Schizosaccharomyces pombe: one gene and its partners. The gene in region 2 interacts genetically with the main gene of each other region. Each region holds a gene or a part of one and is shown on either strand. Other genes may lie near its edges. The genes, in order: vac7, gcn20, caf1 and meu10.

What was found.
Region 1: mutations in gcn20 (region 2) and vac7 together harm fitness less than expected from each alone (positive genetic interaction), as found in Schizosaccharomyces pombe (one large-scale study listed by BioGRID).
Region 3: mutations in gcn20 (region 2) and caf1 together harm fitness more than expected from each alone (negative genetic interaction), as found in Schizosaccharomyces pombe (one large-scale study listed by BioGRID).
Region 4: mutations in gcn20 (region 2) and meu10 together harm fitness more than expected from each alone (negative genetic interaction), as found in Schizosaccharomyces pombe (one large-scale study listed by BioGRID).

Annotation. Positions count from the first base shown.
Region 1 is NC_003423.3:3,652,237-3,659,446, reverse strand, and holds vac7 (protein vac7), read right to left. Parts: upstream 4,017-7,210; 5' UTR 3,903-4,016; coding exon 3,743-3,902; intron 3,668-3,742; coding exon 3,072-3,667; 3' UTR 2,650-3,071; downstream 1-2,649. Other genes in the region: DNA polymerase epsilon catalytic subunit B Dpb2, read left to right, coding at 695-2,212, 2,255-2,365, 2,406-2,561; CENP-H-like protein Fta3, read left to right, coding at 4,311-4,973; ubiquitin protease cofactor Nxt3, read right to left, coding at 5,652-6,767, 6,884-6,958, 7,027-7,140. UniProt on the Schizosaccharomyces pombe protein: Component of the PI(3,5)P2 regulatory complex that regulates both the synthesis and turnover of phosphatidylinositol 3,5-bisphosphate (PtdIns(3,5)P2). Directly involved in vacuolar membrane scission.
Region 2 is NC_003423.3:2,051,828-2,060,215, forward strand, and holds gcn20 (AAA family ATPase Gcn20), read right to left. Parts: upstream 4,616-8,388; 5' UTR 4,598-4,615; coding exon 2,387-4,597; 3' UTR 2,314-2,386; downstream 1-2,313. Other genes in the region: atp14 (F1-ATPase subunit H), read right to left, coding at 5,271-5,294, 5,341-5,531, 5,584-5,619, 5,668-5,713, 5,761-5,775; ort1 (carboxylic acid transporter), read right to left, coding at 6,436-7,329; rps902 (40S ribosomal protein uS4), read left to right, coding at 7,965-8,388.
Region 3 is NC_003421.2:1,962,242-1,969,707, forward strand, and holds caf1 (CCR4-Not complex CAF1 family ribonuclease subunit 7/8), read right to left. Parts: upstream 4,614-7,466; 5' UTR 4,606-4,613; coding exon 3,598-4,605; 3' UTR 3,189-3,597; downstream 1-3,188. Other genes in the region: exocyst complex subunit Exo5-like, F-box protein Pof6, read left to right, coding at 1-236, 287-557; ribosome biogenesis protein Rsa4, read right to left, coding at 867-1,478, 1,529-1,825, 1,884-2,279, 2,330-2,533; oligosaccharyltransferase complex zeta subunit Ost5, read right to left, coding at 4,614-4,792, 4,943-5,005, 5,062-5,104; DNA-directed RNA polymerase III complex subunit Rpc53, read left to right, coding at 7,096-7,466. UniProt on the Schizosaccharomyces pombe protein: Acts as the catalytic component of the CCR4-NOT core complex, which in the nucleus seems to be a general transcription factor, and in the cytoplasm the major mRNA deadenylase involved in mRNA turnover.
Region 4 is NC_003421.2:1,864,850-1,874,211, forward strand, and holds meu10 (GPI-anchored protein Meu10), read right to left. Parts: upstream 5,247-9,362; 5' UTR 4,882-5,246; coding exon 3,631-4,881; 3' UTR 2,931-3,630; exon of another isoform or gene 2,873-2,930; 3' UTR 2,067-2,872; downstream 1-2,066. Other genes in the region: serine/threonine protein phosphatase PP2C catalytic subunit Ptc2, read left to right, coding at 1-20; DNA-binding transcription factor, CBF1/Su(H)/LAG-1 family Cbf12, read left to right, coding at 6,901-9,362.

The DNA of each region.
Region 1 (7,210 bases), 1.6 Mb from region 2:
TATTTATTAACACATAATTTCAGCTTTCGTAAAGGAATTAATTATACTCAACATTTTGTTAGACATACTATAGTACGCTATGATACAGTACGTAGAGAATCACTATATATCATGTGTCCTAATTATTCATCGTACCACGTATGATACGATATTGAAATTGATTTTAATGATAGTCTATTAAGACCTATATCATTTAAATACTATTAATAGAGTTACTGATAAACTTCGTTCGTCAGTTCAGTTATAAGCTATGTTAGTGATAGTAACGCTATAAGTTGGATAGTATAATATCTATACTTAGTTGCTACTTATATTACCTTTATATCGCAATTTAATAGATCGCAAGAAAACCTCACCGCAATTCAGCGTATCGTTAATATGGATATTAAACTGCGTAGCTGACACAGTTTATGATTTTATAGTAGTGCGTTAAAATATTTTAATGAACCAGATTGAGAAGTTAGCATTTAGCATTTTGATATTAGACAAACAGTGAATAAAGGGTACACCATAGCTATCATCTACAGTAGTCCTTTGAAACTTTTTCACTTGAATCCAAAAAATTATTGATTACATCCTATGTTGATTAGAAAACCATATACATTGATCTGTCCTTGATACAGTGAGTGGGCACTAAACGATTCTATAAAATCAAAAAGCGAAGGGTTTGCATTAATATATTTCTTAAAATAGAATGAACAATTCCATTACGGATTCGGTAGAAAAAAAACCTGAACAGGTTAGTTTTGAAGTTCAACCCAATGCCCTTCGTCCGGTTGCTTTCCACGTATTTACCAGGAAGTACGATCTCAATATTAATCGTGACTCACTGCAGGAATTAGCATCTTTCGTATCTAAAAAATGCGGCTCACAATGGCGTTCCCAATGTGAGCCCTTACTAGACGAAATTGCAAAAACTTGGAAACGAGTTCATGAAACTCAACCTATAGTTACTCGACCTCTTTTGATCCCTGTCTTGGCAAATTTAAATGTTCCGCATGAAGTTCGCGTATCTTCCTTAGCAAGAGTTCAAACGCTTGAGACAACCGGTTCATTTTTAAATTCGAGTAATTCGGAAATCCGTGAAACTATAAAAAATGAGAAATACTTTAGAGTCCTTGATGCTTTTAAAATGCCTAAATTTAAGTACGATTCATCAAGAAAGGTTTTCGTTTTATCAAAACAGTCTCCTACTTTAATGGCATCTGCAAGTGCCTGCACAGATATGCTTAACCGCAGATTCAATGTTGTATATAGCCGTATTTTACGCAATGAATCTTTTCAAACACCTTCTTTCAGTGGCTCTTTCTCTCAAACAGGTACATATCAATTAACTCCTATTCGCAATTTATTAGGTCGAGCTGGAAACACATTTTTGTTGTTCGGACTCTTGACTATAGCTCCCGATGGTACCTTATGGCTGGAAGATCTTGACAGTCAAGTTCAACTAGACGTATCACAGGCAGAACAAGGGTTCGGTCTCTTTTGCCCTGGCTGCTTGGTACTTGTTAATGGTCAATTTCTAAGTTCTGGGCTATTTTTAGTTTTTGAGCTTGGTCATCCTCCCATTGAACGCCGTGATGCTTCCTTGAAGGCCCTTAATAATTTAGATATTTTGGGGTTGAATATGGATGCAAAGCAACTTGCTCTTCTCCGTCACGCGGAACAGGCATATCAGTCACAAGCTTTTGTTTGTATCAGCGAGGTTCATCTTGACAACCATCAAACTTTCTATGCATTAGAAAAAATATTCCAAAAATATGAATCCTCTGAAGCTGTGCCGTTTTGTATAATATTATGTGGAAGTTTTATGTCTTCCGCTTTCCATAATTCAGGAAGCTCAATTCAATATAAAGAAGGATTTAATAAGCTTGCAGCTTCTCTTGAGAAGTTTCCAAAAATTTGCGAAAAGACAAAATTCATATTTGTCCCCGGTCCAAACGACCCTTGGACGACAAATGGGATATCCTTAATGCCTAAGCATTCAATACCCCTTCATTTCGTAAATCGGATCCAACGCGTTTGTAAGCATACCATTTTCGCTTCAAACCCTTGCCGCATCATTTTCTTTTCTCAGGAAGTACTAATTTATAGAGACGATATATCAGGAAGATTTCAAAGGAATTCATTAAAGTTTGGGAAGACTCCCCAAGGTACCTCCAATATTAATTCTATACCCCTTGCAGAACAACAAGTGCATCAGCAAAGAAAAGTAAGCAAGTTTCTTATAATTTTTTTATGCTAATTTGTTTAGTTGGTTAAAACAGTTTTAGATCAGTCTCACCTTTCACCGTTTCCATCGAGAACACGACCAATATTGTGGGATTTTGATTATGCTTTATCAGTTTTCCCGCTTCCTAGCTGTGTACGTTATAAATCTTTTTTTTCTTTGCTAATATTTTTAGATGGGTCTAATAGATTCTGAGTCGTCGGCGTTTGATGTTCATTATGGAGGTTGCCCAACTTTTAATCCCGGTGCTCTTTTACTTGGCGTTCACTATAATTGGCAAGAAGTATTTCCAGTAAAAAAAGAAATAATTACACACAAGGAGAGAATTTAGGACTCAAATCTTTTCCTCATGTAACTGTATAATAATTGCTTAAAAAAGGCATTTCATTCATTAACATGTTAACGATTTTTAAGTTTGTTACATTTTACTGAGCCCCGAATAATAGAACGTTTATGTTAATTAAAAGATAAATCCAAGTAAGATTTCTCGTAAATTAGTAAACATTAATCAAATTAAACTATAAAATTAAGATTAAGGGTTAGTAGGAATAATTAAAAAAATATAGAAAACTCCCTACTAGAAAACAACATTTGTAAAATTCAATATCACTGCTGCGTACAACAACTTCCATGGAGGCAATCAATAGGTGCTATTAGCCTTTAAAAGAGTTGACCGAGTACACAGCATCAAAATACAGAACAACAGTTAATTTTTCCAAAAGGAGCACATAAACGATAAGGCATTAACATAATTCAAAAGGGCATAATAACAAAAGGTTAGCAAACGCTTTACAAGGCCTGACTTCATAATCAAAGAGCCGTATAAGTTGTATCTCACTTCTTATAACAACGGTTGGACTGCATAATGAAAATATACCAGAGATAGCACAACAAAACAAGCAAAGAAAAATGAAATCCATAATCTTTTATGGAGCAAGTTTCTAAGCATTTTCGTAGTAACATCACCACTTTCCTGACCAGACCTTCTACTTGTTCGAAAGGGCTCCTGAGAAGTGGAGGATAATTTTTTGTTAAGTAACGGTGACTTTGAGGTTGTAGGATTGATTTGCAAAGGCGATGTTGCCAAACCTCTAGCAGTGGTAGGACTATTACATCTAGTGTCACTACTTCCAACCATGCTGGAAAATTTTGCAGACCGTTTGGGAATCAACTTGCGACTATTACTAAGTGGGCCTCCGTTGAGCGCGTTAGTGCCTGCCGATCCATAATAAGGCACATGATTTATAGTTGGCAGCATTTCTAAGGGAAGGTTGTATGTTTGAAAAGAGTGAATGGATGCTGAAGGAGAATGTAATTCATCATCATTGGTAGGGATTAGGTTTTCGTAAACAAAATTTTCTGATTCTTCATCGTTTGGATCCTGATCAACGGCAGAGGCCACTCTTGCTGCAAACATAGCTGCTTTGGAAGTCATTACTAAAATGCATGTTAATATAATGATTGAAATAGACAAATTGTGTCCTCAAAAGCTAGCAGCTGCTAGATGCATACCATTGGGCAAACTAATTTTTTTCTTCTTTTGAGCATTTTTTTTTGTTTTAAGGGTTTCTAGAGACGCTTTTCTATCGCAACTGCTCGGAATCTGCACTTGAGACACATTCAAGACCGTCTCAGTCTCAACAGACATTTGCATAGGCTTGGGCTCCGACATATCCTCCTGATTAGCAGAATTTACGTATTTTCGAAGTTAGCTTATGAAAATATTTTGATTTTCGATATTTCCATTCCTATGTATATGTATTGGCATTCCACATTGGCAAAGGATAAATAGTGCAACATACATTTGACAAACGTCAAGTTGCCAAGCCCTACCCTAATTAAATTATTAGCTGCTAGTGCTAATAACTCCTTAAAATTTTTGACGTTAGCAAACTACTACGTGAAAACCAGGAGAACTTGTAGAACTCCCGGTTTCCTTTAAATAATCTCTGATTTTGGTTTCTTCATGTAATAGTCTTTTATTAGTACTAAAGCTTTTTATCTCCGTATTCCTCGATTTTTAGGAAAATACTGATTAGTTCAATATTTGAAAATGCTTGTTACTTAACGAACTGACCGTATGGATAATAACGACCAAATATCAAACCTTTGTCTAGGGGCTTTACAACTGCTTGCCGATCAACCTATTTCGGTTATCTCGAATGAACCATCTGAAGAACAGCGGAATGAGCACGTCCTGAAAAAATGGGAAAATAACGTTTTAAGACATTGGAAAATTCTTTTTTCTCTTTTTATGCAAACTTGTGGTGATAGTGTACAAGGAAATGCTGCCTTCTCAATCCTCAATTTCATGACTACTAATAGTTTAGTGGGACAACTATATCAGCGACTATATGATGAGTCTAATTCATTGGGCTTTATAAGTAGCCCTTTGAACGAGACAGAACATTTGTCGGAAGAAAATTTAAAAATCGAAAGCAGTATTACCTTCACTAGTGAAGAAATTGAGAAGGAAAAAGAAAATATTAAATCTGTATTACTTCCTTCAGTGCAATCTATTTCTTCTTCTTTAGAATTGTATGCGTCTAAAGAATCTGATTATAGAAGCTCAATTGAAGGTGTATTAGCTGACTTGAAGTTAGCGCGTGCCCGTTGGGAAATCGTTAGAAACGTGACACAAATACTTTTGCTCGAATCCGGCATTAGTTTCCTAGAGAACAAAAAACTTGCATATATCATGGATCTATGTGGTGATCGTGAAGACAATTATAGTTCCTATTAAAAGTCTTTATTTTGTTTGTGAACGAAAAATTTGGTATGTTTTTATGAATGTTATAAGCCCAGTGATGCTTTTTTGAATTTCTTCAACGGAGCCGTTTGTCTTATTGACATGCGATGTGGGACGATATTTGACATACTGAGGGCCAATCATTCATTTTTCTGACTTCATAATTTTTCTTACTAACCTTTAGAGTAAATGAATTCTTTATTATGAATATTTTTAATAAAAGCTCCTTTTTTACTCTTTGTAAAAATTTTAGAAACTAGAATACATAAAATTTTATTTAAAGGTACTCTAACAACAATAACGGATGTAAAGGAGAAAATTGGCGAAACCGTAAAAATAATAGATTTCTCTACAAAATGAAGTAGGGTTGGGCGTTATCGGTAAACTGAATCAAGCGGACAAACCACCGTTGTTTTTTTAAAAAAGGAAGGCTTATAATAGTCGGAGGTTTTTGGAATGAGACAATATAGAGGCGCTGATGTCAATTGTGAACATCATCAAAGGTATACTAATATATAGTAAATAGATTGTGAACAATCAAAAATTTTGCGAGCTCAGTAATTCTTTCTCCACAGTCGCAAGAAAACTGGCATCTGCTAATGTATAAAAAGTCAAGAGTCAATAGTATATACAAATCAGTTATAATTTAAAAACCGTATGGACAACAGACACTTAATTATTTTGCTTTTTAGAAGTAGTCACTTCTTTTGAACGACCGTCAAAAGCACCACGGTTACCTTTGCGAAAATTCCTTTTCATTCCATTATAATTATCGTTGGACTTCTTATCTCCCGATTTGTTGAATTTACCGGAAAAAAGACGGCGTCGTTCTTCTATGTTCAGCGTGGCATTGTTAATTTGCAAAGTTTTTTTGTTCAAAGCCAATTGCACGCATTCATGGTTGACAAAATCAACATATGCGGTGCCTTTGCGACGAGCAAACTCAATAGCCTTGACTGGTCCAAAAATGCTCATAGCAGATTTCAATGACACATCAGATGTTTCGGGAGGAATGTTCTTGACGAATACAGATGTCTCCAACAGTTCATTACTCTGAGTGTACGGCGCTGTTGGCTGCTGAGTTTGGTCAGCATTAACACCTTTAACTGTTTGACCAGTTGTAGACGCAGTAGAACTAACTGATGCTTGGGATTTCACATCAGGATGATTACGAGCTATGAGATCAGCCCAAGATTTAGGTGCTGTAGCAACATTTGCATCGCTAGCCCCTATAGCATCAGCATTCTTCGAGTTTGAAGTCAGAGCTTCATCTTGAAGCTGATTTTCCTGCTGAGAAACAAAACTTGGGACTGAGGCTTCCGTAACTTGGATAACGGGTTCTTCAGGAACAGCCAAAGTAGCTTGATTTAGACTGTCGGTCTCATTTGATATAAGAGCGGCTGTGGCAAAATTATTTTCTGTAGCAGCTGGATCCTGGTAATGGCCTTCTTCTTTTGCAGAAGGTAAATGTTCTTGAGATTGCACGCCATTTACGTAAGGTTCAGAAGCAACATCTTTTTTCTCTTTTTCAACAGCATCAGGTGACTCCTCTTCTTCCTCAACATCTTCACGCAAAAAACGGAAAATATCGTTTAAAACAAAATAACCATTTGGTTGTTCTGCAAGGAAAAATGTTTGAGCAAATTTTCTGGATAATTTCCCCTTATTAGACATTTCACCCAGGACCTGGATGACAATGCCACCATTCGAAGAAGCCAAACTGTCAACGTTTGAAATAAGTACTTTGCAATTTTGAAAGTCCAAGTCCAATATCTTGTTATGAATTTCCTAACACGTTAATAAAATGACTATTGGGCAAGACAACGATCATAGAGTTTCGAAAATCGCAAGCAGAATATCACAACCTCAAAAACTTTACATATAAGAATTGTGTTAAAGCATACCTGTTGTCCATGACAAAGACTAATACTCTCGCCTTCGTCTCCGTGAATTAAAGTTGACTTTTTAGTATAGAAACACTGTATTACAGTTAGTACGGTTCACAAGTTGAAGAAAAAAAAACTTTTGGTAAATTATGACGACCTACATGAAGACGATTGGGTTCTTTATTTAAATATGTATAATATTCTTGAACGAACATCCATCCTATCTCATCCTTTCCCAAAACTGGTTCTAATAATGTGGCATTTTCCGCAGTCATGTTTTATTTAACTGTGACAATAGCTATACAAAGAACAGAAAATCTGGCTCTAAAAGACCCAAAACAAAAT
Region 2 (8,388 bases):
ACTAACGTTAAAGTACGAAATTAATTGACTCATCTATAACCGTTCTTTATTTTTTTTATTTTTTCAATGAATAAAGCTATTGGCATTGATTGCTAATCTGGTTTGATATATGATATACATATTTTTCTTTTTGAAGTATTGAACAATTCTTTTTACGCTTCTAGTAGATTAATTACCATTTACTCTTTTTTTAAAAAAAATAAATAAATAAATAAATAAATAAAATTTTGTATATTCAAGTGGTTTCTGCTCATTAGCCTAATTCGCAAATAACTCTAGTTTAACATAAAATTTAACTTGACGAAATGCGAAAAATGTCTTGTACGACAAAATTTCAAGAGTTAGGATTGAGAGAAGAATTAAAAAACAATAGAACAATAAAACTATTGCACGTAACCCCTAAAACTTGTTGAAATTGGCAATGTTGATTAAATACCTATATCTGAATTAATTTACGAGAGAAAAAAACCTAAACGAAAGATTAATAAAAGCGCATATTTAAGGAAAAATTTTTCTATGAATAATTTCTCTTTTCATCCATTAATCGCCTTCTTGACCCATTTCTTCTCTTGTATTTACATTTTCATCTTAAGTAACACGTCACCTACATCAAGCATCCAGGTAGTCATCGTGGCAAGCATGAATTTGCTCTTTCCCCATATTCGCTACTGAGGTGTGCAGCCCTTCCGCGGCGTCATTGGAACTTCCACTGGGCCGGAAAGGCAAGAAGGATAATTACGGTTTTTAACGTTGAATACGCAAATATTTATAACGAAACGGTGGTTGAGAACTCGTAAATTGAATGAAGAAAATTTGATAAAGGTCGATAAATTTATTTAGCGATAATTTAACGATTTTACCGAGTTAACAAATTAAAGATTTTAATTATTTTTTAATATATTTGTATAAGTGAACAAATAGGTTTGCTTCGCCGTCTTTTTCAACTTGTCGGAAACAAACAATTATCTGGAATTTTTTTTTACTCGCACTTAGATTCTCCGCGTTTTATACGCATATACTAACAAGGAAAGGAATTTAGCTAATCGATAGATTCTGGACCTTTCCTTCTTTGAAACACATTTTCCCCCGTTGAATTGGTTTTGTTTACATTCAAATAAGGTAAAAGCACTCTTCCAATTGAAGACTATAGAGCTCTAATTCGATCGTTTTCTTTGAAATTTTTAAAAATTACTATCATATGAGCGATGTATTCTTTAAAAGATTTGTGCATCCAAGTCGCGCAGAAGCATGTGCACGACATCGATGATATTGGCGATTGCCCATTCGAACTCGTAAAACCTATCCTGGAAAAAGCTAGACCAGAACATTTAATAGACTTGGAAGAAAAGTCGCCTCATTTGAAAGTTGACACTCAACCATTGTGGAAAGATCACGTTTTGCGTGATTTTGGATTAGAACTTCAAAAACGAACTATATTGAACAATATTGATGATTGGAGAGGGCTCTACGGAAAACTTAAGAAAAAAAGAAATGCTCATTATAACGTTGCTTCTGCTAAGCTTCGAAGTGCTTACACCAAGCTAGAGCAAAGTAAACAAAACAAGCGAATTGTTCCTTTAGAGCGTGAGCCTAGAGCTGCTCGGCCTCCTAAGCGTCCGCGTCCCATGAGTAATTATTGTCCAAAAAGTTCTCTAATGGCGAGAGCTAAAAGTGATTTTCTCAAAAAGGCTCTGCTACCCGTCATATTGTTTCAGCTACTTCATCCTCTCGGAGCTTTCCCCAATTGCATCCCCTTGGACGTTCTTCTTCTAACGCTACTAATACTTCTACAAAGCGTCCTTTAACCTCTAATACCTATCCGTCCATTCCTCTTCCTCCAAAGTCTTTCACCTCTCAGAATTTTAAATCGTTCAACGCCGTCAAAACTCAACCTTCATCTTCCTCCTCTCCATCAATCTCTCGCCCTACGTCTTTTCCCATGTCCTTTTTTCCAAATCCTTCGAGGTTTTCTAGTCAAGTTCCTAAACGAATTTAATGAGTTAACTTTTTCCTTTCTCTTTCTTTTTTTGTTTACTAGTCTGTATATTCTTTTTTTTTCTGCTATTGATTTCCTTGGTCCGCCTTATTTTCTCCTCTTCTCCCCTTCCTCCTCTTTACTTTTTAATTGATTGGGTTTGTTCTCTTTATTTTTTGGGTGTTGGTTGATGATTTGCATGCTTTCCAGGTTTCTTGTCCATTACCGTGTTATGACTTACTTAGCTATAATTAATTTACTGTTTTAATCTTATTTAACACTTCATGTCTTTTACTGTATAAAATGTAGTTAACTTCGTTTACATATTTTATCCAGATTCATAGATAAAAGAATTTGATTTTATTTATCCTCGCCAGCTATATTATTATTATTTAAGTCTATGCTATTCCATTAAGTTTTTATAGTCATGGTTGGCTGTTGAGATAGACAGAATTTCTTATATTGTGAAATTGTTCCATCAAACTTGGAGACGACATTATGGTCACACTGCCAAATACTGGTACATGTCTTGTCCAAGAAATCAACATCGTGAGAAACAAGAATCACACCACCTTGGAAGCGTTTAACAGCTCTTGTCAAGGCATCCATGGACTCCATATCCAGATGGTTGGTGGGTTCATCTAGAATAAGAATGTGAGGGTTTTGTAGACCTAGGCATGCGAACGCAACACGAGATTTCTGACCACCAGAAAGCGTGATCATTTTTTGCAATGCAAGAGGTCCACTAACACCAAAAGCGCCAAGATGACGACGGTATTCTTCTTCACCTTTGCCAGGAAATGTCTTAGCTAAAAAGCTTAAGGCATTCAAGTTTAAGTCCAAAGTATCGACATGATGTTGTGCAAAGTATGCAATACGAAGTCGGGGGTGCCGACTAACTATACCAGATGTTGGATGAAGTTGTTCGATAAGAAGCTTAAGCATTGTTGATTTACCAGCACCGTTGGGACCAACCACACCGATACGAGAATCCATTTGAACATCAATATCAACATGTTTGAGAATAGGGTGACCTGGAACATACTCAAAATTGACATCAGACATTTGTAAGATAGGAGGAGATATTTTTTCCACAGGTGGAAATTCAAACTCAACTTCTTCCTCAGTTTGAGGCTTTTCAAGGATCGGCAGTTTTTCCAACTTCTTAATACGACTTTGTGCTTCGGATGATTTGGCAGCATTATAACGAAATTTGTCAATGAATGATTGCAAATGTTTGCGGTATTCCATTTGCTTTTCATATTCACGAAGTTGATTTTTGCAACGTTCTTCACGAGTAGCATAGAATTGACTAAAATTACCCTTATAGTAATCCAAGCGCTCAGAGTGTTGATGAATAATATCAGTAGCAACTTCATTCAAGAAAGAACGATCGTGTGAAACGACTAAAACGATATTTTTATAAGTTTGTAAATATTCAGATAAGAAAGCAATTGAGGGAACGTCAAGCATGTTCGAAGGTTCATCCAAAAGTAGTAAATCTGGTTGACAAAACAGAGCACGTGCCAATGACAAACGCATACGCCAACCACCTGAAAAAGTCTTGGTAGCATGGCTTTGCATTTCTTGAGTAAATCCAAGACCAGCTAAAATAGTAGCAGCGCGTGATTCTGCTCTATCAGAGTCCATCTCGGAAAGCTTATTTTGAATATCTAACAACCGTAAATCAAGTTCGTCTCGTTCACGCTCAAGGCGACGGGAAATAGCTTGATCAGCAGTTTGGTCTTTACTAAGTTCTTCCAATTCTTTTTCAATCGTTGATAGACGATTAGTTATCTTTTCCTGGTCCTGAATCAAATACTTGCGCCAAACATCGGCATCCAAAACTGACTGTAGGGCAGGTGTATCATCACCTGTCATTTCTTGCTCAACATGAAGAATGGTAATATGGGTAGGAATCGCAATTTCACGGCGAGAAAGAGCACGTAGAAGAGTAGATTTACCGATACCGTTGCGACCAGTTAAACCGTATCGTCTACCCTGTGCAAGTGTCAACGAAGCACCAGTCAATATACGATGACCAGCAAAAGCAAGATCAATTCCATCAATTTTAATATCTTTCGATTTTCCTTGGTTACTTCCGGATAAATCTAGAGGATTTACAGCCATGTAAAACTCTTCATAAGACTTTTGTTCGGGTTGAACCAACTTTGAAGATTCGTATTCTGCTTTGATAGTACGTTTCTCCCATTTGGCACGAATCTTCCGTTCAGCCTTCTCTAATTTTCTTCTATCTACCCTAGATTCAACCTTACGGCCCTTTACAGCATCTAATTCCATCTTTTCGCCAACCAAACCCATAGTTGACGAAATTTCGGATTGGGAATCCATTCGAATAGTCTCCTTCAAACGAACAAGTCCATTCGTTTGTAATGTATCTAGATGTTCCTCTCTTTCTTTAAATTGTTTCTCTAGTTCGTTTTGTATGAGCTGTACCGCTTCCTCACGAGCGCCAGCATCTAGCAATAAATTACGAATGAGAGAGATCGTATGGTCTGAAGCCTCATCTACATCTTTAATAGCATCATTAGCATATCCAGTGCAGTAGCTGAGGACATGAGGGTCTACTTCAGAGCAATTATTCTGAATGACTTGCTCCATGTTGGATGTGAGGTGGATAGTACTAAGCAAGTTATACTACTGCTATATATGAAGCCTCAATCGGCAAAACGATGAGACTAGGCATGAAAATATACTAAATACCTTATAATAGTGAATTATATATTTTTTTAAGAAAAAAAATTACAATTCCAAGAAAACTACTGTGAACTTTACTGATATTTTTAATGACCCACAGTAGACATCAAATTTTATCAAGCTAATCCTTATTGTTGAATAAAAGCAATTGTATTGAGTTGATATAAATTGAAAAAAAAAATCCAAATGTGAACTCAATAGAAATACTTTGCAAAGAGAAAAACATCTCAACTCAATGAAAGTGGTTTTCTATCAATCAAGGCAACAACTGTTTCGTGCCGTAATCGAAGAGACGACTAAGCATTGAATTCAGCTATGTTCAAAGACATTTAGAAAGCAGAAAAAGGATACGTTAACCTAGAATATAAATCATAGTGAGACGGGAGTTATAGAGATACATCCACGTTCGTGGTCAATCAAAAGAAGGATCAGACAAAGGCATGAAATAGATATAAAATCAAATCTCAACGACGTAGATGAAAATGTAAATTCATAATCGGAAAATAAAAGGCAAAATTTAATCAAAGTTAATTACCAAACATCTTCCAATTGAGCATAGGAAAAGCAGTGAATAAATTTAATGTTCTTTTTCATTCTCATACTGAAGGAAAAGTTAGCTGATGCAATGTAAAGGAAGAGATACATACTGATTCAAGAAAGTCAAATTTGTTGCTTTCTCCAGCAGCCTTAGTGGGAATGGTTTCTCCCTCATACTTGTAAGAGTTTAAAGCAGAAGTAAAGTCAACATCGTATTTTGGAGCAGTAGGAGCGCTAGGCATGGACCATTCCTTTACTTCAGCTGCCGTTTCGGAAGGGACAGCTTTAGGCTTATATGATTCTAAGACACGACGTGTAAGAAATTGGTAAATTAAGAGAATATAATAACATACTTAAAGAAGAAATATATAAACCCTGTACTACATCGACTAAATTGCCATTAGTAATCTCATCAAAATCAAAATGTCATTTCATACCGTAAAGACGAGGGGAGGTGGTCGAATAACTACGACTTAGTGATTTCTATATATTAGCTCCTAAATTCTTAAAAAAAGCAATGTATAACGTACCAAAATTCGAGACATTGTTCTTCCTTCACAATATATGTGGATGGTAGTGGTAACTCACTTAGGTAGCATGTATTGAGTAAGAAAGCCAGCATTGTCCGAAAGTACATTAAACATACTAAATCTAATAGCTAAAGTTTTAAATGCCCAAATAAACAATCGCTGAAATAGAAGGACTATTAGTCTCAAAAATTTCATCCAATTTACACCTCTACCAAAAATCTACAAAACAAAATTCAACTATACAAGAAAAAAAAGCGTAGGTACATACAGATATTGAAAGAGTTGGATTAACCAAAACAGGACGTAAAAAGCAAAACAAAACAAAAAAAAACAGGGAAAAGAGGAAAAGAAAATATACTTTCAGATTGAAACGGTTAACTCGTGAAATGTATAACAAGTTCAGTGGAATTACTGTCAAACTAACAGCAGCACATGATATGAAAAGTGATGAGAGGGGAGTTTTTGAAGGTAAAAATGCTTTTAATAAAAAATAAATAGCATCAAAAAAATTGTAAAAGTATTCCATGGGACTTTAAATATATACGACAAAACCAGTTCTAAAATGTGATTAAACTTCAACCGCAAGTCGAATGCAAGTTAAAATATGTATAGAAATGCATTCCGACGGGTTATCGACTCAATGGACAACAAAGACTTCGTAAAACTAGAATAAAACTATTTGCTTAATACTTTAGTTTCCCGAAATAATTCAAAAAGCGTAAAATTGCAAGAATTTATAAGAGCGCTTCGCATCAATGAAATACCTATACCTCGATATATAGTAAACGATAACCAAGGAATGGAAGACAAAGGGGTTTTAATTGATAAGAGTGTATTTCTTTGTACAATGGATTTGGCTGTATCCACCGGGAATACCAAAATCCAAGACAAAGCGCCGCAAAAAGCACCAGAGAAGGCATAAGCAAAATGCGGCTTCACATCATTCGCTATCAGATTTTTCTTAAAGGTTTCGTATATTGTAAAATAACAAGCCGATCCTAGAGCGTCTCTGGTTAGATGATAACGATACCCATTCCATAATGCAGTAAATCCATACCTCCGAACAATGTCAGAAGCGCTCTGGAAAGATGACAAGGGAGGTCTGACACTTAGCTTGGAATTTGTCTCTTGCCGACGGCCCATATTTGTTTTGCGAAGAAGCATGTCAATTTGTGAATATAACTTTGAATACTCGAATGGACAAGCAAAAAGTGATATAAAAGTACCAGTCCCAAGCCCGGAAATGAAATACCGAAGTGTAGGATCCACATGAGCAAATGTAAGTTTTAAGGAATCATACACCGTAAATGATACTGACCTCGATAGAGTGGCTGATATCAATGGTAGAGTAAGACCACGATACAAACCTTTTAATCCCTCGTTTTTAACAGCGTTTTGGAAACAAGAGCGAATGGTTGGGAAATTGTAAGTTTGCTGTCGAACTTTAATCGAGTCAAGAGGATACCCAATAACATTGCTAATGGCAGAAGAAACCAGAGCAGCGGAAAAGGTAGATGCGGGAGAGCCCGAGTGTGCTTTATGGGGCTGGTTATGAACTGGTAAACCCATTTTTTGATCAATCCTTCAGAAATAAAATAGAGAGAAATGAGAGAAGAAAATAAAGATCAATATTCTAGCAAAAATAGATTTTTCGACTTATCTAAACAAATGAAGTAATCGAAATCCTCTTTCTTTATGTAAGTACGTATATGTACGTCTAAATTGTATGTATAGTCTAAAGTATTCAGAAGTTCACCACCCATGTAAGATGAACTACTAAAAAAAAACTTGTTTTTTATATTTTGAAACTCGAAAAAAAGTAAAATCGTCAATAATTATGATCAATTTCAGAGAAAAACCAAAAAAGAGACAGTAACAGCACAACACTCACAGGATTGTGCAATTAATATCTTCAAATAGAGTTTAATACGCACTCACAAGATACAGTGTATCCCTTACATATGTGATCTTCTATTTTAGAAAAAATAAACAACACCTTCTATTTACAAATCTAACTTCTGCTTTTCCTTCACAAGGATATAAGCTAGAGGGTTAGTAGGAATAGTGTGTAGTAAGGATATCGGTACGGGATGGTGATGGGACAAAACCCTAACCTAATACTACAGTATCTCAAAAAGCCGTCACTGTTGTGCCTTCTTGAAAATACATAGCAAAGGTAGGTTGCGCAAAGCACCAAACAAACAATGCCTTCTGCTCCTCGTAAGCAATCCAAGACTTACAAGGTTCCTCGTCGTCCCTTCGAGTCGGCCCGTCTAGATGCCGAGCTCAAGCTTGCTGGTGAATATGGTTTGAGAAATAAGCATGAAATTTGGCGTGTAGCACTTACCCTTTCTAAAATCCGTCGTGCTGCTCGTGAGCTTTTGACCCTTGACGAGAAGGATCCTAAGCGTCTTTTCGAGGGAAATGCCATCATTCGTCGTCTTGTTCGTTTGGGCATTTTGGATGAGTCCCGTATGAAGCTTGATTATGTGTTGGCTCTCCGTATCGAGGACTTTTTGGAGCGTCGTTTGCAAACTCAAGTCTTTAAGCTTGGTTTGGCTAAGTCCATCCATCATGCACGTGTGTTGATCTTCCAACGTCACATCCGTGTTGGTAAGCAAATTGTCA
Region 3 (7,466 bases), on a different chromosome or scaffold from region 2:
ATGAATTTATTTAGTGACCAAACTATAGGTTCCATAACGAATACTATAGAGCCTACAGCTGCTGCCAAAAATGTGGTTCAATTTTTAGGTTTCCACATGCGTATTCTAGTTGGAAGGGCCGATCATGAAATCCTTGATGTTTTTTATAAGGAAGTCGGAATGAGACTTTTCGATTCCTTAACACGTTACATAAAATCTCATAAATTCAGTGTCGATGGCGGGCTAAAGTTACTCAGGTGAGATTTTATTCCTTATGTTTAAGAATTATAAAACTGACTCATTTTAGCGATTGTAATTTGTATTATGAATTCATTCACTCTCTTCATCAAAGCAGCCTTTTACCATATTTTAAGACATTGAAGGAAATTGCCCATTTATTTATTATTGATGGAAAAAACGCCGAAGAGATTGGAAAACTGGCTACCGATACTTCTCGATTTTCTAGCGCATTTCATACCGAAGAGGTTTACGAAATCCTTCACAGTCGTATTGACTGGTTAAACATCAAATACGAAGTAGATAAAGTAATCCATGGACTGGCATGCTGTATAATGTAAATATTTTTTATTTTTTGTTCATATCCTTTTTTTGTTATTACCATACACTTTAAAAATGCATCTTGCTTTCTGCTTTAGGCTATAATGTTTGTTTAACAAATTCGTTTTTTGGACCTTTTTTAGGTTTGTGTCTATTATAATATCCTCTAAAAGTCAATCAATTTTAATGTCATAATAAATCATAAATGCAGTAGTTATTAAGGATAAAAGCCAAAACCATTTTATTAACCTAAACCGTAAAAGAAAACCAAATTCCTGAAATTAGTTCTAAATTTTTTAACAACAACTATGCTACCGAAAGCGTAAATATCAGTGTGACCATATACGGACTGCTTTATCAGCGCCTCCAGAAGCGACACGCTGTCCATCCGGAGACCAATCCACCGCAAAGACTTGATCTTCATGACCTGGTAAATCAAACTTCATCTTTTTGGATCGTACATCCCACACCTTTAGCGTCGTATCTTGAGAAGAACTGACCAACAATCGTGAATCTGTAGACCAGGCACATTGATAAACCGCAGCAACATGACCACGCAAAGTTGCAAGGAATTTACCGGTTTTTCCATCCCATAGCCTAACTGAGCTATCGAAACTAGCTGTAGCAATACACCGTCCATCAGGAGAAAATGAAGCATGGTTTACTACCTTTTGATGTCCATGCATTTTTGTGATGGGCTTCGTTGATTTCTGTGGATCCCATAATATTAATTGCAAATCATCACTGGCAGAAACCAATCTCTCTCCTGACTGTTTTAAACAAGCCTCATAACGCTCTTTGGCCTTACGACGCTCATCAGAAAAGCTTTTTGGTTTAAAATCAGTATGATCATATGCACCCGAACGCAAGACATGCTCGGTGGACAAGGAGAGATGGTTCACACGAGCGGCATGACCTTTTAGAATATGCAAGCATTTTCCCTTCAAAATTAGTAAGTAAATAATCCCTAAGTACAATTTCCTTCACTTACATCTTTAGCATCCCAAATCCGTATGGTTTTATCATATGAGGAGGAATAAATCCAGTTTTGACCGCCCCAACGGACACAAGTAATTGGCGCGGTATGACCCGAGAGAGTAAAAAGCAACGTCCTTAATTTGACATTCCAAATACGAACTGTATTGTCTTTTGATCCAGAAGCTAGTAAATAGGGGCCACTGTCAGGAGCAAGATGCAAAGGTTGCCAACATAGTGCCATAATAGGTTTCGTATGGCGTCGTAGAGCATCACCTATAGGGCTCCCCTTTTTGGGATCCCAGAAACGAATCTAAAAATATTAGTGACTTGCGACAAAAAAATCATAAATCCATCAAAAAGTTACTCACCGTATTATCCATGCTTCCTGTAGCTATGATAGAGGCATCAGGGGCCCAAGCGACGCAAGACACCCAGTTAGTGTGACCCTTCATGGTTGCAATAGGGGTTTGCGTATCACAATCCCAGAGCCTTGCCGTGAAATCTCCACTTCCAGTAACTAGCCTCGAGCTTGTGCTAGGCGAAAATTGGGCAGATATAATGGTACCATCATGGCCATTCATTGATGCAGTACAACGAGTAACAGCACGGACACGAAATACAGCTTGAGGAGTGTAGAGTAACGTTAAGTGATCCTCAGTTTTCATAAGTCCATTGTGAAATACAGAAGTGTATAAATTATCTTGAATTTCGATAGTTTCATCTTCATGATGAAGAGCAAAATTATACGGAACAGGATCGTCGGACTGTGAGGATTATGTTAGCACATTTACAGAAAAAAAACTTTCATTCTTACATTCTCTAATAATTGGTTCAACAAGGCTTCCAATTGCCTAACAGAACTATTTCCAGGAACTAAAAGTGATGCCAGTTCATTGCTATCATCTGACGCCCGAAACTGAACGTTAACGAGCGGGAATTTTTCAGGAATTTCTATAGTAGTAGGATTTAAGCTCTCCTTTTTTTGACGTTTACTTTTAGGAGGCAGTAAAGTCGCCATTTTAGAAGGATTTAAAAAAGGAAGGATTTGGTAGTGGTAGTAATGAAAAATACTTACACTTAGTATTCTTAAAAGAGCTGTGATCAGATAAATTTTATCGCGCCAATGATGCATCGCGATAATTTTAACAACGATCTTCAGCGAATAGAAAAACAATTATAGCTAATTAAGCTAGATTTAAGCGAGGTTATAAAAAATTAGTTTCTGCATGTCGAACAAGAGAAACAAGATCTTAGAGTTTTTATAAAATAAATTTTAGGTAATTCTTTTATGCTTGATCAAATTAACTAGAAGAATTATTGAAAATTTTCAGTATCTCAAGAAATGGTTGGGACGACGAGGTAGGTGATATTTTGTTCATTGGCTTGGGAACCTTAGTGATAAAATAAAAGCTAAAAACTAAAATAATAGTTTTGAGATTGTAATATTTTAAATCACAGGATAAAGCACCTATCAAAAAAAAAAAAGCTTTACTAACTAAAGTTGATGCTTGCATGAAGATTTGTTACAACATGCACATAGAGCTGTTTTGGGGAAGCATTGGAGTTGACCGATGATAAACATCAGACTTGAAATCTACGCCGGTTTGCACCGTTGATGCTGGGTTGGATGCTAAGCTATTACGAATTACAAATACACGGATACATTATCAGTATATGAAGGAAATGGACTATATTATCTATTAATACAAAACCCGATGAAAGGCTTTTTTTGCTTCCAGATGCAAGAGAGTTCATTTCGCTGGGAATGAAGATGAATAATTTTAAAGTAAATCATCGCAACAAAATAGAAGGAAAATGCTCCTCACGAAAATGAGTGGATACAAAAACTTTTATGCTGAATTAGCGGGAAACTCCAACCAATCTCTTAAATAAAAAGAAAAACATATAAAAATCCAAAGTATAGATTTTATGGAAAAAATCTAGAAAAGCATATCGAGTAAACAAGTTCAAGCAAGGGTATACGTGAGAAAACGAGAATATATTAAGTTAAAATACAAGCATCCCGAAAGTACTTTCAAGGACTTCAATTTTTTAACGGTATGTTTTCAACTAGCTCGTGATCTAAACTACACGAGGAGGAAATCTGAATGTTGAATTGGCGAAATTAGGTGCCGAAGAAGTATTCGTTAAAGTGGTGGGAATCCCAGCATTAGATGGAGTAGGACTAGGATGGGCACCTGGAAGATCTCTGAATTGAATCTGTGGGGTAGATGAATTGTTGTGCCATAAAACGCTACCGGTTGAGCCTAAACCGTATAGCTGGTTGAGCATCCTGGAATCAATGGAACCATCAAAATACCTCGACCTTATTTCGAAAAATATTCTCGCGGTTAGCAAGGCATCACTTCCAGCCTGATGTTGGGGTCCTATACGATGTATTTGTAAATCGTCAGCAATGTCTTGAAGACCTTTAGAGTTGTTCAACACAGATTTCATTATGTATTTTATGTCGTAATTTTTCGGAAAATAAATACAAAGAATTTTATAAAACTCCTCATATTCAGCGGGTAAAGGGATTTGTGTCATGGCTTTTAATAAATAGGCAAAGTCATATCCACTATGAAACGTTATCCACGTGACCTCCTCTTGCAAAACTAATCCACTACCAATGAGGAGCTCTGCAAAATCTGCAGGCTCTATGCCAACCTCTTGATGTTTCTTAAAGTCAATGCCACTTTTTGTGAGTAACTCTATGCTTTCCGGAGCGTACATATCGTCTTGTAGATTGAATGTAAAATTAAATTGCCATGTACATGCCTCGACAGGGGCATTTCCTTCCTCGTCACTTAAAGCAAGCCCAATTTGAATGATTTTTAATGAATCTACGTTTGCCCGTAAAGTTTGATAGTGGTAGTCATCACTACTTTTAAAGACGCCAAGAGGTCTAGCAACTACTCCTGGAAATTCTGTATCCATAGAAACAACTGGATACCTTTCTATTAGACTCATTATAAGATTCATCTCTTGTTGCAAATTCGTGGACCAAACGTCCCGAATTGGTGATATTTGGGAGCTGATTCCATCCACTCCTAATGCAGGATAAGAAAAATTCGAATTCATCGCTGTCATTACGTTTTTTAAACAGCAAAGCTATAATGTAAACCAACCTGGAAAAGTAGGTTTTCGTTTGGTGTAAGTAGACTTGGATTGTTGAAGAATCCGCTGAACATAGATGCGTTAATTGTGAATACTGTAATATACCACAATTTCCTTATATGAATTCTTCTAATCACAAGAGAAAACATTGATGATGAAACTAAAAGTTAGTCATAGAAGGGTCAACTATTAAGTTAGGTATTAACTAACCTACAAGTGAAACTAAAGTTATTTTAATGGAACAATACTGTCATATGTTTGTTTGGAATATTTATTAAATCAAAGACTTTCTGTCGGCTTACCAAGCTACTTTGGATAACGATTTGAACTTGGCAAAAAAATATGCAATCTGACTTTTGTTCTTTATTATAAACTTCTCGTATCTAAAAAATATTTTTTTAAGTAAATTTATGCCATTAGTAAGTCGACAGAATAATTTTAAAGCTGCAACGATTAATTCGTTCAAGCTCATTTATTAAGGGAGAGTAGCAGCAAGAAAGCTAAAGTATGAGTCACTTTGTAGAGTGTTGAAATGTTATCTTTAGTAAGTACTAAGTCCAGACCTCAGTGAGAGATTTCAAAAATACTATTTTCTGTAATTGTATCTTAATGTCAGCAATCGAATTGATGAGCCTAAACTTAAGCAATCTCATCTAAATTATTAAGATTTGATCTCTTATTTGGCAACATTATAACTGAAAGATTTTACTTTTCCCTTCAAACAACTCAAAAGAATTGTTGAGTCATGGCTGTCTTTAGTTAGTGTTAGTATCGCAAGAGGAAGACATGCTCCTTCAGCAACGATCTATCTTCTTTTCAAAATATGTGTATTATTAAAAACATAATAAATTTGCAGTATTTGGAATTCAAAATTTATTCTTTACTTTATAAGCCCAGCTTTGAATTCTTCAATAAGCAACATATTCGTTTTTTGTATGTTAAATAAGGTTAATTTTAAACGAGGATACATGTACCACTAAATTTTAACAAAATCCTATTAAAAATTAAATTTGTTTTTTCCCTAACTTTTAAATTACTTGTTTGCAGGTATTTCAGTTTAAATAGACATCTTAAAGGAGTATTTGAGTTCTTTTTTCTGACTGTATTCAATTAGAATTGGATTTCCTTATGGCTTAATGCCGCTTGAAAGATATGGAAATATGACATTAACAAATTTATACAGAAGCCATTTGACGTTCAATTCCTTATTCTATTTTCCAGTAGTAGTATTGCATTGAATTACCAGCACTAGAATTTCCCTTAAAATTTGTTATATTTACTTTTCTCCTTAATATTGATGGATGTTCAAATGTATGATTTTTCACCTTCGCGCTACCTATTTATAAATTTTTTCTTCACACTTTGATATTTTATTGTCAGTTAGTATTAATATGAGCCTAATGCATCTTGGCCCGGATTTATTTCGACGCAGGGATTTTGAAGGCAATAAATATAATCATTAACACTTTAGGTAAATGAATCTAAATTCTCGTAAATTTTTTTTTTGTTTAAATCAAATTTAATTTTCGGCCACATTTTAATAACAACATTTAATTTAATTTAACAGGGAACTGTTAAAAAGCCTTGATTATTGAACCAATTCAATATTTCCTTCAAAAATTAACAAATATTATATTTCTAAAATTTAAGCTACTCGAAGACTTTGACAAATACTGATTTAAACCTTACTGTAAGCAGTTGTCAATGCAGCTCTTACATTAAAAAAATTATTTAATAAAAATTGCTACACAATTAGGGTTCTTTTCCGATTCCTGCATTTTTACGGATCTCTTCTTTCGTATGTTTATCCAAGTTTGGTTCGAGTAACCTTCCAAAGTTTATAGAGTTTTAAGAAAAAGCGGTACTCATTTTAGAAAATTATTTTAGTTTAAAAATTTTTAAGGCTTGGAGCTGGCTTTTTCATACTTGTTATTCCTACCTGATGAATCATTCAAATAATTGTGCGTCAAATATTTAGTCGTAAAAATATTCATATTTAATGAAACAGTATTCAGAAAAAGTTGATTTAAAAACTAGTAATATTAAAAAGACATGAAAACAAACCATTTTTATATTTATATTTGTTGAAAAGTGTATGTCTCAAGAGTTACTATTAGTGTTCAGTATCATTAGATACATATAGCACTGGAAAGATCAGATCTTACCCAATACCAATTACACGCCAAATAGGCCAATCGAGGGTTCGTGTATTTTGGTTAAATACAAAAATTAAAAGTTTTTCAATAAATCTGTGATTCTTGTATTCACCTTGGCGTCGTGAAGACAAGCAATTGTTGATCAGAAGACAAGGTTTCTTCATCCAAGTTACTATAATTGTTGGATCGCCTTTGAATGATTATTAGTTTAACCAAGTTGAAAAAATAAACTAATTAAATAACAAAACAAAAAATTTATATTATTTTGCCCTATATATATTTTTTTCTTTAATCAGGAGTCTGAAATATGAGAAAATTTACTCCGAAGTTCGTCCCACGAAGAAAAAATGGGCCTGTTGAAGAAAAAGATGTGGATGAGCGTGTTAAGATAGAATTTGACGTCGAATCTCAAAAAAAATGGAAAGCTTCAAGGCCGAAACCAGAAATAAAGCTTACTGCCTCAGGACCTTTTGCATTAGGCCCTAATGCCTCTTCTTCTGGTACTGGCCGCCCCATAGGGTCTGTGTATGTGCCACCTCCTAATGTCAAAAACGAAGAAAAAGATGATGCCCTGTCCAAACTTGCTGCTTCTTCTGGCCATGATGAAGGCCATGATGAGGACATGGTCGACATTCTTAAACTTCGAGAATTAAATGGCCAAGAGCAGGGGAAGACAGA
Region 4 (9,362 bases), on a different chromosome or scaffold from region 2:
ATCGCTATTACCTTCATTAAGTTATTTTCATTGCTTTTTTTTTTAAAGCAATGAAGGGTTTGTTTGTTTGTTTGTTTTCGTATAACATCCTATCTCAGCAAGTTATAACAGGATTTCTCTTCTTTTTTTAATTTTTCATTACTTTCTTTCCTTCCTTCCTTCCTTTTTCCTAAGTTTTTCCAGGCTTTCTGCGATCGTTTTAATAATAGTTTCCTCTTTATTCGGGAAAAATATGCCAATTCATACTACTTTAAAAAACTCCTATCCCTTCCTCTTTCTTTGCAAAACTACTGACACTTTCAACAAAAAAAAATTCTTTACATATTATCGTTAAAGTTAGTATGTCAACAAAAGGTCTGTTTTTCGAATCTGTCTTTTTCGGTTTCTATCTTTATTGTTGGTAGTTTGTATCATTTCTTTGTCAAACAGGCAATATAAAATGTTTCACTGCTTTAGTTTTTGTTCCGTTCAGGAACTAAGCAAAGCCATCCTTTAATCAGTTTTAATGCTGGTGTTCAGCATTATTAACCTTTTACGCAATTTCCACTCAACACCGTTTAGCACTCCGATGTTTGTATTATTATTCCGCTCATCTAGTGTATAATGGAAAACGGTATTCCCACTAACCAACTGAAGCATTCCTTTTCTTAAGGAAAAATATATTGGTGGGTTACAGACCCAAGGACAATATATAAAAAAAAGTATTTATTGTATTTGAGAGGAGACTTTGGAACTAATAGATTTGATATCTTTATGGGTGATGTTAACTAATTTATTTATTATTTAGTATATTTGTGAGCAGTTTAGTTTTTGTACGATGTCAGGAAGCAAGGGGTTTTTTTTTAGCATGGCGTACTTTATAAATCTTCTTTTGAGCTTGATTTAATTTGTCGTCTTATCAAATTAAGCATATATTTCGTTTATCCCGTTTGACAACTGTGATCGCTTGTAGTCATTATCGCTAATTTGGTGCGAATATGTACAGGGTATTTTGTAGACGGATGACCTTGGTTAATGAAGACGTTCGTTTACGTTTTCCCCTTTACTGTCTCTATCTATCGCTTAGCTTGAAAACGTTGTTTAGCAAGTGAATGTACGGATGATGAAAACCTTTAATAACCATTAAAGCTTTCGTGTGGATCCGGAGACATTTTAATGAATACTGCGACAGAGTTTGTTTTGTTTTTGTTGACAAAAAACGGGCGATCCCAATTTTTAACAAGTTCACGGTAGGATAGATGGAGAGGGTAAATAGACGTGTACGGCTAGATATCAACTACGTGATGAAGCTGTAATTCCTGTCTAAAGGATTTAGCAAATCGCTGTTTTTTTTTAGAGAGAGAGTGGCATTCACTGTTGAGAGTGATGAACTTTTTTAAAAAAGGATGGAAAACGAAAAACCCATTGTTTCGTGGTTTTGTTATATTAAACCGTTCCGTTCTAAGCTTTAAAAAACCAATTTTACCAAACTATTAATCATACGTCCGCTGGAAAACGACGCGATCGCTAAATAAATATTTATGTGAAGAGGATTGGTATCAAGGAAAGTTTAATAAATTCCTTACCTATAAAAAAATAATGGATCGTATGCTATGAAGTGTAATTATTTACTTATTGTGAATTCAGTCACACTTTGAGTTCCAATGTTTTGTAGGTGAAAATTTTGATGAAATCTGTTACGAATAAAGTATGTACGACCAAAATTTAATTTTCAAATCAATATTTTCCGTTTAGCAATAAATCCATTTACCTACCTTTTTGTGAGTCTCTTAGACAACAACATGCTTAAACAACCTCTTAACTTGCATTGCTCTATTGGTAATGCTTAATCAAACTGTTATATCCCGTGTGTACCAAAAATTAAATCGAACGCAAAACTAACACTATAATAACATTTAACATTTCTAATCGTAGCTATAATTAAAATCATTGCTCTACAATCATTTTTAAGTTTTAAAACATATTGTCTGAATATACTGGTATTTTTGGTATGTTATTCTAACATTATTTTTCCAAATTATTATTATTATTATTAATTTTTTTTTAAATTATTTTTCCAAAAAACTGTTAATCACTATACAGAATCTATGAAGCTTTTATTTACACCTGTTAAATGGTTTAGATCCATCCTTCATTAATTCATAAATACAGATAATTCGTAGCAAACTCATTTCAAATTATTCATCTCTGCTTTGGGCAATTCACAAGTTTGTTACCCTTAAACAAAGCAAAAGCCAAAAAGCATCATCTTTACGAAGTATCAGAAACTGGAAAGGCAAATTGCATTTTCTTTCATCACAACACTCCTTGTATGTTCACAAAAACTATTGCTTCAATGAAACACATTCTCATTCATAATGAATGATGCTCTCTTATCATTGTTGTTCTATCATTAATTTTTTTATTTTATTTATTTTTTTTTAATCAAGCAGTAAGTTTATCATATTTGCAACTTCAAATGTTTGATCCAAACCGTCCAAAAATTAACAAAAGGACAAATTACGTCAAATCAGTAAGTAGTAGGATCGTTTAGTTATGATCATTGGAAATTGTTTCAGTGATCGGCTCGGTTGCAAGTCGTTTAAACTTGACAACCAAATATGAAACATTTGTGATTGCCAAATTCATCTTTCGTTGAGAAGTCATCCTTTCTCTCTTTCTTTTCCATACTTCATATACACTCTCTACTACTTAACAAGGTTCGACCAACTTTGTTTCAAGAAATTTTGCCTTCCTCCGCATTCGCGTAAAAATTTCATCCACTTTCCTTACCTTCCTTCTATCCGATTGCAATTTTTTACAGGCACGAGTGCCTCGGATGGATAAGGCTTGAAACACCCGAGGCAACACAAAGAAAAATATTTTTTGCATTCTGAATACCACTAATTGTTAGTTGACTAAACAAACGACGAAAGGCATGCTTGACTCACTCATGTAATTTCACATTCCTTGGTTTATATATTAATTCATTTGGATGCCTGTCAGATAAATTGTTCAGCTCTCGTACTTCCGTTTTTATCCCACTTAAATCATATGTTTCATGGCATAAAATTAGTACCATCTACGCGCGGGTTTAACTGTTAGTAAAAAATTGCCTTTTACTCTACAACAAGACAAACAAATGATTCATCTAGAAAAGTAGCGTGCTGTTATCGATAGACAAACATAATAACTGGTAGTTTTGTGATAGTAAGAATAATGATGAATATTTTTGTTTTAAAAATAAGAAGCCAATAGAACCTGGAGTCACTAAAAATACTTTTTTTTTTTCATTCTCCTAACCGTACTAAAAAATAAATAAATAAACCGAGGAAAAGCCAACCATTGGTAAGAAAAAGTGTTCACTATCCATACTCACAACAAAACAACTGAAAACCGGTTTCTCGTCATTTCACTGTGTCCATTAAGGAACAGCAAATAGTAAAGTGATCCAAAATGAAGCAACGAAACTTATCGCCGTTTTTTTTTGTAATCCTTGTTGGTTGAAAATCTTCCTTCTAATTATTTTGAAAGCATTTATTTACTTTTTAAATAGAAACAGGTTAATCATAGACGGCATGGCTTTGAAGGGTAGATTTCGATCTTGCAAATGAACTTGCGTTTACATTGTCAACTTTGTCTCTCTTGGCTTTAAAGCAAGTGCGCAAAGCCACTTACTAAGACAAGGAAAAAGGTAACAAGACGGAAAGGTCGGCTATCTACCTTAGCGGCACCACTTTGTTTGACCGGTGATGTACTGTTCTTAGAGCCTTTAATTGTTCCATTTCCTAACAGTTCATCAAAATCGTCATCATCGAAAGAAGACTCCTTGCTTTGTCTGGGATTGTCAACCGATCCTCGGCAAACAAACGATTTGCCCTTGATGATCCCGTCGCTCTGGCGGAAGGGACAAGTAAAGTCGCTCGATGTAGTTTGTATGTTCAAACCTCCTTTAACATCTCGTAACTTGGGAAGTTCAACGCTGCTAAAGTTACCGGTAAAGTCGATGGATCCTGCTACGGTCTTCAATTTATCATATCCTTTGATTTGTGCCAATGCTGCACTGTTGGCAATCATAAAAGTACCTCCAATGCTCTCAAGTTGCTTGAAATTTAGCGAAGTCAATTCCTGATTGCCTATAAAGAAAAGAGACTGTCCAATTCGTGTAATGTTTGGGCATGATATATCCTGCAACGTGCTGTTGAGGAAGCCTAAAAATCCTTTGACCTCTTCTAAATTCGAAAGTTGTAAGTGAGCTACGCGTTGAATCGTCATGTCACCCACGGTTTTAAGTCTAGGAAGGGTAACACTGATCTCCCTGGCATTGTAAGAGACGTAAAACTTCGACTCCACACTTTCCAAATAGGGCATATCAACTTCTCGCAAATAATTGTTGTTAACAATTACCATCGTATCCGTAGTATTCAAAGAAATACCTGCAAGTGTGGAGAGTTGGGTATCCTCGATGGTGAGCTTATGGGCCTTTTTGATCCCCTTATCGAATCGAATCCCTTGAAGATTTGGCAAGATACGCATCGTTAATTGGCCAACATTTGCCAGTTGAGGTGCGTAAACACTAGCGAGTCGTGTGAGTTTTTCAAACCGTAATTCTCCACCCACACTGGAAATGGATGTCAGGGCTACCGATGCAAGGTAGTTGTTATTACGAATGATGAGATCACCGGTAATGGTCTCTATTCTATTGAAATTCAAAGAAGTAGCTGAGCTAGTGTTCATGATGATAGAGCCATTCACAACCTGACAGTTGCTTAAAACGTCCAAGTCATTCTGTGTCTCAATAATGTACTCGGGGGCACCACAAACCGCTGGGGTTGCACCAGCGATCACTACGCTCCACGCAGTGAAACTGGTAAACAAATAAAAGCGTGAAGACAAGCGCATTTTATGATAAATGAAGAATGAATATAAAGGAGGGAAAAGTTGTTAGGGATAATAAAAGCAATAAAATCTATCAAGTACGACCAAAATTTTTGTCGTAGCAGGAAGGGATTGGAAATGAAATTATGAATACTGAAGAATGAATTCGGGTCTTTGTAGGGTTTGGAAATGATGAACCTTTAATTGTTTATGATTTCCTTGTTGATTAAAGTTTGGACAAGAAAAAGTGCCTTAAACGAATGCTAATATAACAAAAGTTTATGTATATATATGCTGGGTAAGAAAAGAGGACAGAGCGAAGTCTTTCTTCGTAATGGATTATTTATACGATTTTTGTTAAAAGGAATAAAAATGTAGCGGTTATTTCCAGGTAGTTTACTCACTGGCATGCCCTTTTATAGATTTCGAAACCGCCCAACTCATCTTAATATGGTAAAAGTTACTCAGGTTTATACACCCCAATTACTAAAAACATCTTAAGTAATAAGTTGAATGTATGTTAATGGACTATATGCGGTTCACACATTCGTTAATTCATTTATAAATACGGCCTTGAGCCTGCACCACACCTACCATCAACAACAACTTTCAACAATAACAAACACAAATGAACAGCGAAAAATAACGAGAGTAAATACCAAGAAAGTAATCAACGCAACTCTTTAAAATTTTTTTTTTTCATAATGTAAACAAACCTACTTGGTATAATTGTTTACTTATTTATTTACTTTGCAATGTTAGTAAACAATGTCAGCAACGTCATGCGATCGACTTTTTCATTGTTTTTCTCTACACGAGGTAACATTATCCCATTGAGGGGTATAGCGTCCGTTGCGGAGGAAAGTTGATCATAAGTGACCCACGGATTGTCTCTATTTTACAATGCTCAACTTGACTGGTTGAATGTTGAGAGTGTTTACTTCGTTGATTACCAACATTTGCTATGTCAACGTAAAACTGCACAAGTTGAACATAACTGGAAAAACTTACTTTGGATTATTATAACTGACTAATCAATAGGACTCATCCGTTGGATCTAGGATTCGCTGCAAATCCTCATCATACATTATTTTGATTCCCGAAAACTGCTTGCTTTAAATTTTTTAAAATCTTAAACCTTTTTTTTAACCTTTTCATTTAAAACATTTTTATCTCCTTCGCAAGCTCAAAAGTCGAGAATTGGCATCGTTGAGGTGTCAACCGACAACGGACCTAAAAAGGCGCCGACAAGCAAAAAAATTTGTACGTAATTGCTATCAGGAATTTAAGAAGCGGCAAAACTTCATCTGCTTAATATTCAAAGTGAGTCTCGAATGTCACCAACGGAAGCCAAATCTTCGGTCTTGCTAAGAGGCTTACCTATCCTATCGTGCATTTTATTTTTTCAATTTACCATCCTGGGAATACTAAGTGGACGTGCGTGGTTGGTATGAAAACATTCTGCACCATTTGGACATCCAACAGTTAAAATTTTGCGAAGTCACAGTTGTTGGCCGTTCTATTTTCAGTGGTATTCCCGTTAATATCACACTCAATTCGTGCTATAGGCAAAATCGGAAAAACCAAAGTACATGTTGTTTAACGATTTTTCGGTAACGTCGTAAGGCTGTATATCCAAGTAATACCGGATTAACATTTTACTTCTCCGAATTAGGGAATCATGTAAATAATAAAAAGAAAAAAAAGGAAGATTAGGACTGCTACAAAAATTAATGAATTGACTTAAGAAATTTGGTTCCTGACTTTGTACGAAAACACAACACTTTTGTAACAACCTTTACGCTAGCTAAATAGTTTACTTTTTACCCTTGATAGGTCATCCTGTTCGTTGCAATTAATGTTGAGGGAAAGTTAAGTGATCTCAGCTCATCAAATACCAGACATTGCGCGTACATGAACTTTTAAACTTAACGTCCACGGATCTCTTAAATTCAGCTGTAGAGGTGAAAGGCTTGTTTTAAAAGTTTTAAAATTTCCAAACGGATATAATAGATTGCATCCTTTTCACCTTCGTCAAATTCTATGTCCCCAAACGTTCAGAAACGTCCTTCTTCCGAAGATATTAAAACACAGGAGTTTTATGATTCAACTAGGAACATAAGAAGAGTCGCTACAGCAATAGGATCCATCAATGCTAATTTAGAGTCTCCACAATTGTATTCACTCGCCAAATCCACCTCTTTACAGGAACCCGTTCGCATCTATGGAGACTCGGTTTCACCCGCCATCAGTAGCTCCAAGGCCCACTCCACGTCTTCAGTGAGTCCGTATTACTCGGAAAAAAACGAATCTCAAGCGTTGAACGCAGATGGCACAGCATTTGCTAATCCTTCATTTCATTCTTTTGGTCTACCTCAGGAGGACTCACAGGATAACACCCAAACCTATTCCACACCTTATACAACGATGAATCCTTCCAATGAGATGCATCCTTATCCGCCAGCAACTTTTGAAAACAATTACTCTGTCCTTCCTGACCATTCCTCTCAACCCAATGCGTATTCCTTTACCGGCTCAAATATTCTCCCTACTCAGTCCCCATCTTTAAACCAAATGCAAGATTATCAAAATCTACAACAAAATGGTTCCTCTAATACCACTATTCCGTCATTCTCTTCTCAGCATGACCTTTCGCAAGGCCTAACTCATCAACCCGTCCCAAATCATGATGAATATGCATTCTCTTATCCTTATGAGTTACAACGGAAACCTCTGATTCCTGCTCATCCGGTCCCCTCTTTTCGACCTACCTCTGCATTAAAGGTCAACATGAACAGCAATGTTCCATCGTCTGATTCTGTTCGTAATTCTTCTCCAAATCAATATTATGCCTCAACTTCCAAGCAGAGCATCCCCTCTCAATCTCAAAATTTACAACCACCACAAAAAGCTTCTGTACTGGGAACAGTCAATAATTACCGTCAGTATCAAAATTCTTTTATTTCTTTAAACGATTATCAGGCTGCTCAAAGCAACATCTCTTCTCCGTCCTCAAGGTTTCCTACTCCTTATTCTCCGAGTGTTCCATTTGGCACTTACCAGGAGAAGGAAAAAAGTTATTCGCAAGATCATGCAGAACTTTCATACTATCAGCAGTCTCCTTCAATGATGCCTCCTTATGATAGATCATCTGTTTATTTTCAACAACCCCTGTCCAGAACCGATGTGCCAAATCAATCGTTTCAACAATATCCTACTACCGTCGACGGAGGATCCATGATTCCCAATCTTTATCCCACATCGGCAGAGCAGATGGGCTTGTATCCTCAAGACTCCCAAAACAAAGATACTTATCCAAAGTCTTTAGTTAATAGACCTTCATCGGCCGTATGCGAGCCAGCTAGAAATGATTCTATCCCTATGATGGTCTATTCCCAGCCCGTCACCATTGAACAACGGATTCAGTATGTTTTGTCAAATTGCCATTGTTTAAGCGCCTTTTATTTGTGTATGCCATCCCTTTGCCAAAAATCTTATGGAACGGAAAGACGATATCTTTGTCCGCCCATTGTGCTATACCTTTTAGGGACTACATGGCTTAATAATGTTACAGACAATTTGAAAATCTCTGCTCAAACTTTGGAAGACAAAGACAATCCAAAGTTTGCAAAAAACATATTTTACTATAATGCAGATGGTGCTTTAATCAGTCCTGAAACTGATATTGCAAAATCTACCTATCAGCTTACAAATTATAATGAAAACACTAATTTTGACTCATTCCCTGTCTGGGGTAATGCTCTATTAAAAACTATTTATTATACTGGCCAAGGTAAAAATGATGGTTTTGGCCGGTCCACATTTTTACAACTTTCGGTTCAATCAAAAACCAAGTATTTCAAACTTGAAAATTTAAGACTAGGGGTTATTTCTAAACCAAGTCAGAAACGTGCACTGATGAAAGTGTCTGACATGAGCATACGCCATGGTGATTGCGTTTGTTTATTCAACAGATACCGGGCTCAGCATAACAATGCATTATTCCTAGGTACCAGCAATGTTCAAAGAGCGATATCAAAAGTTTCCCTTAACATGAAATACAATTCGAATTATTTCCCTACCACCGACGCCCCTAACGATGCTGAAAACGAAGGTGCCGGCCTGGCTATGGCAAACAATTTATGGGAACCTTTTTATATTTTTTCTGTCGATGAACTTAACAAAGGAAACAATTCCAATCCAAGTGACTCAAGAAGCAAAGTGTTGTGCTCCAATATGGTTATCATTTTAGTAAGCAAAATAACCGGTGTGCAATCGCCGCCCTTGATATTAAAGAAGCACGATAATTGGAAGGTATCGCTTTCTTCGAGGGCCCCAAGTGAAGCCATTAATTGTCTTTCCAAACTAGCCTTTCAATGTCACGAAACCAAGCGTTTCCTGTATATAGATGAAAAACAATCTAGTGAAATCAGTTTCACTTCAGGTGAATTAGAATACTCAGATCCCAATGATCCCACGAAAGCCACTCATTCTGTTCTTCCTTG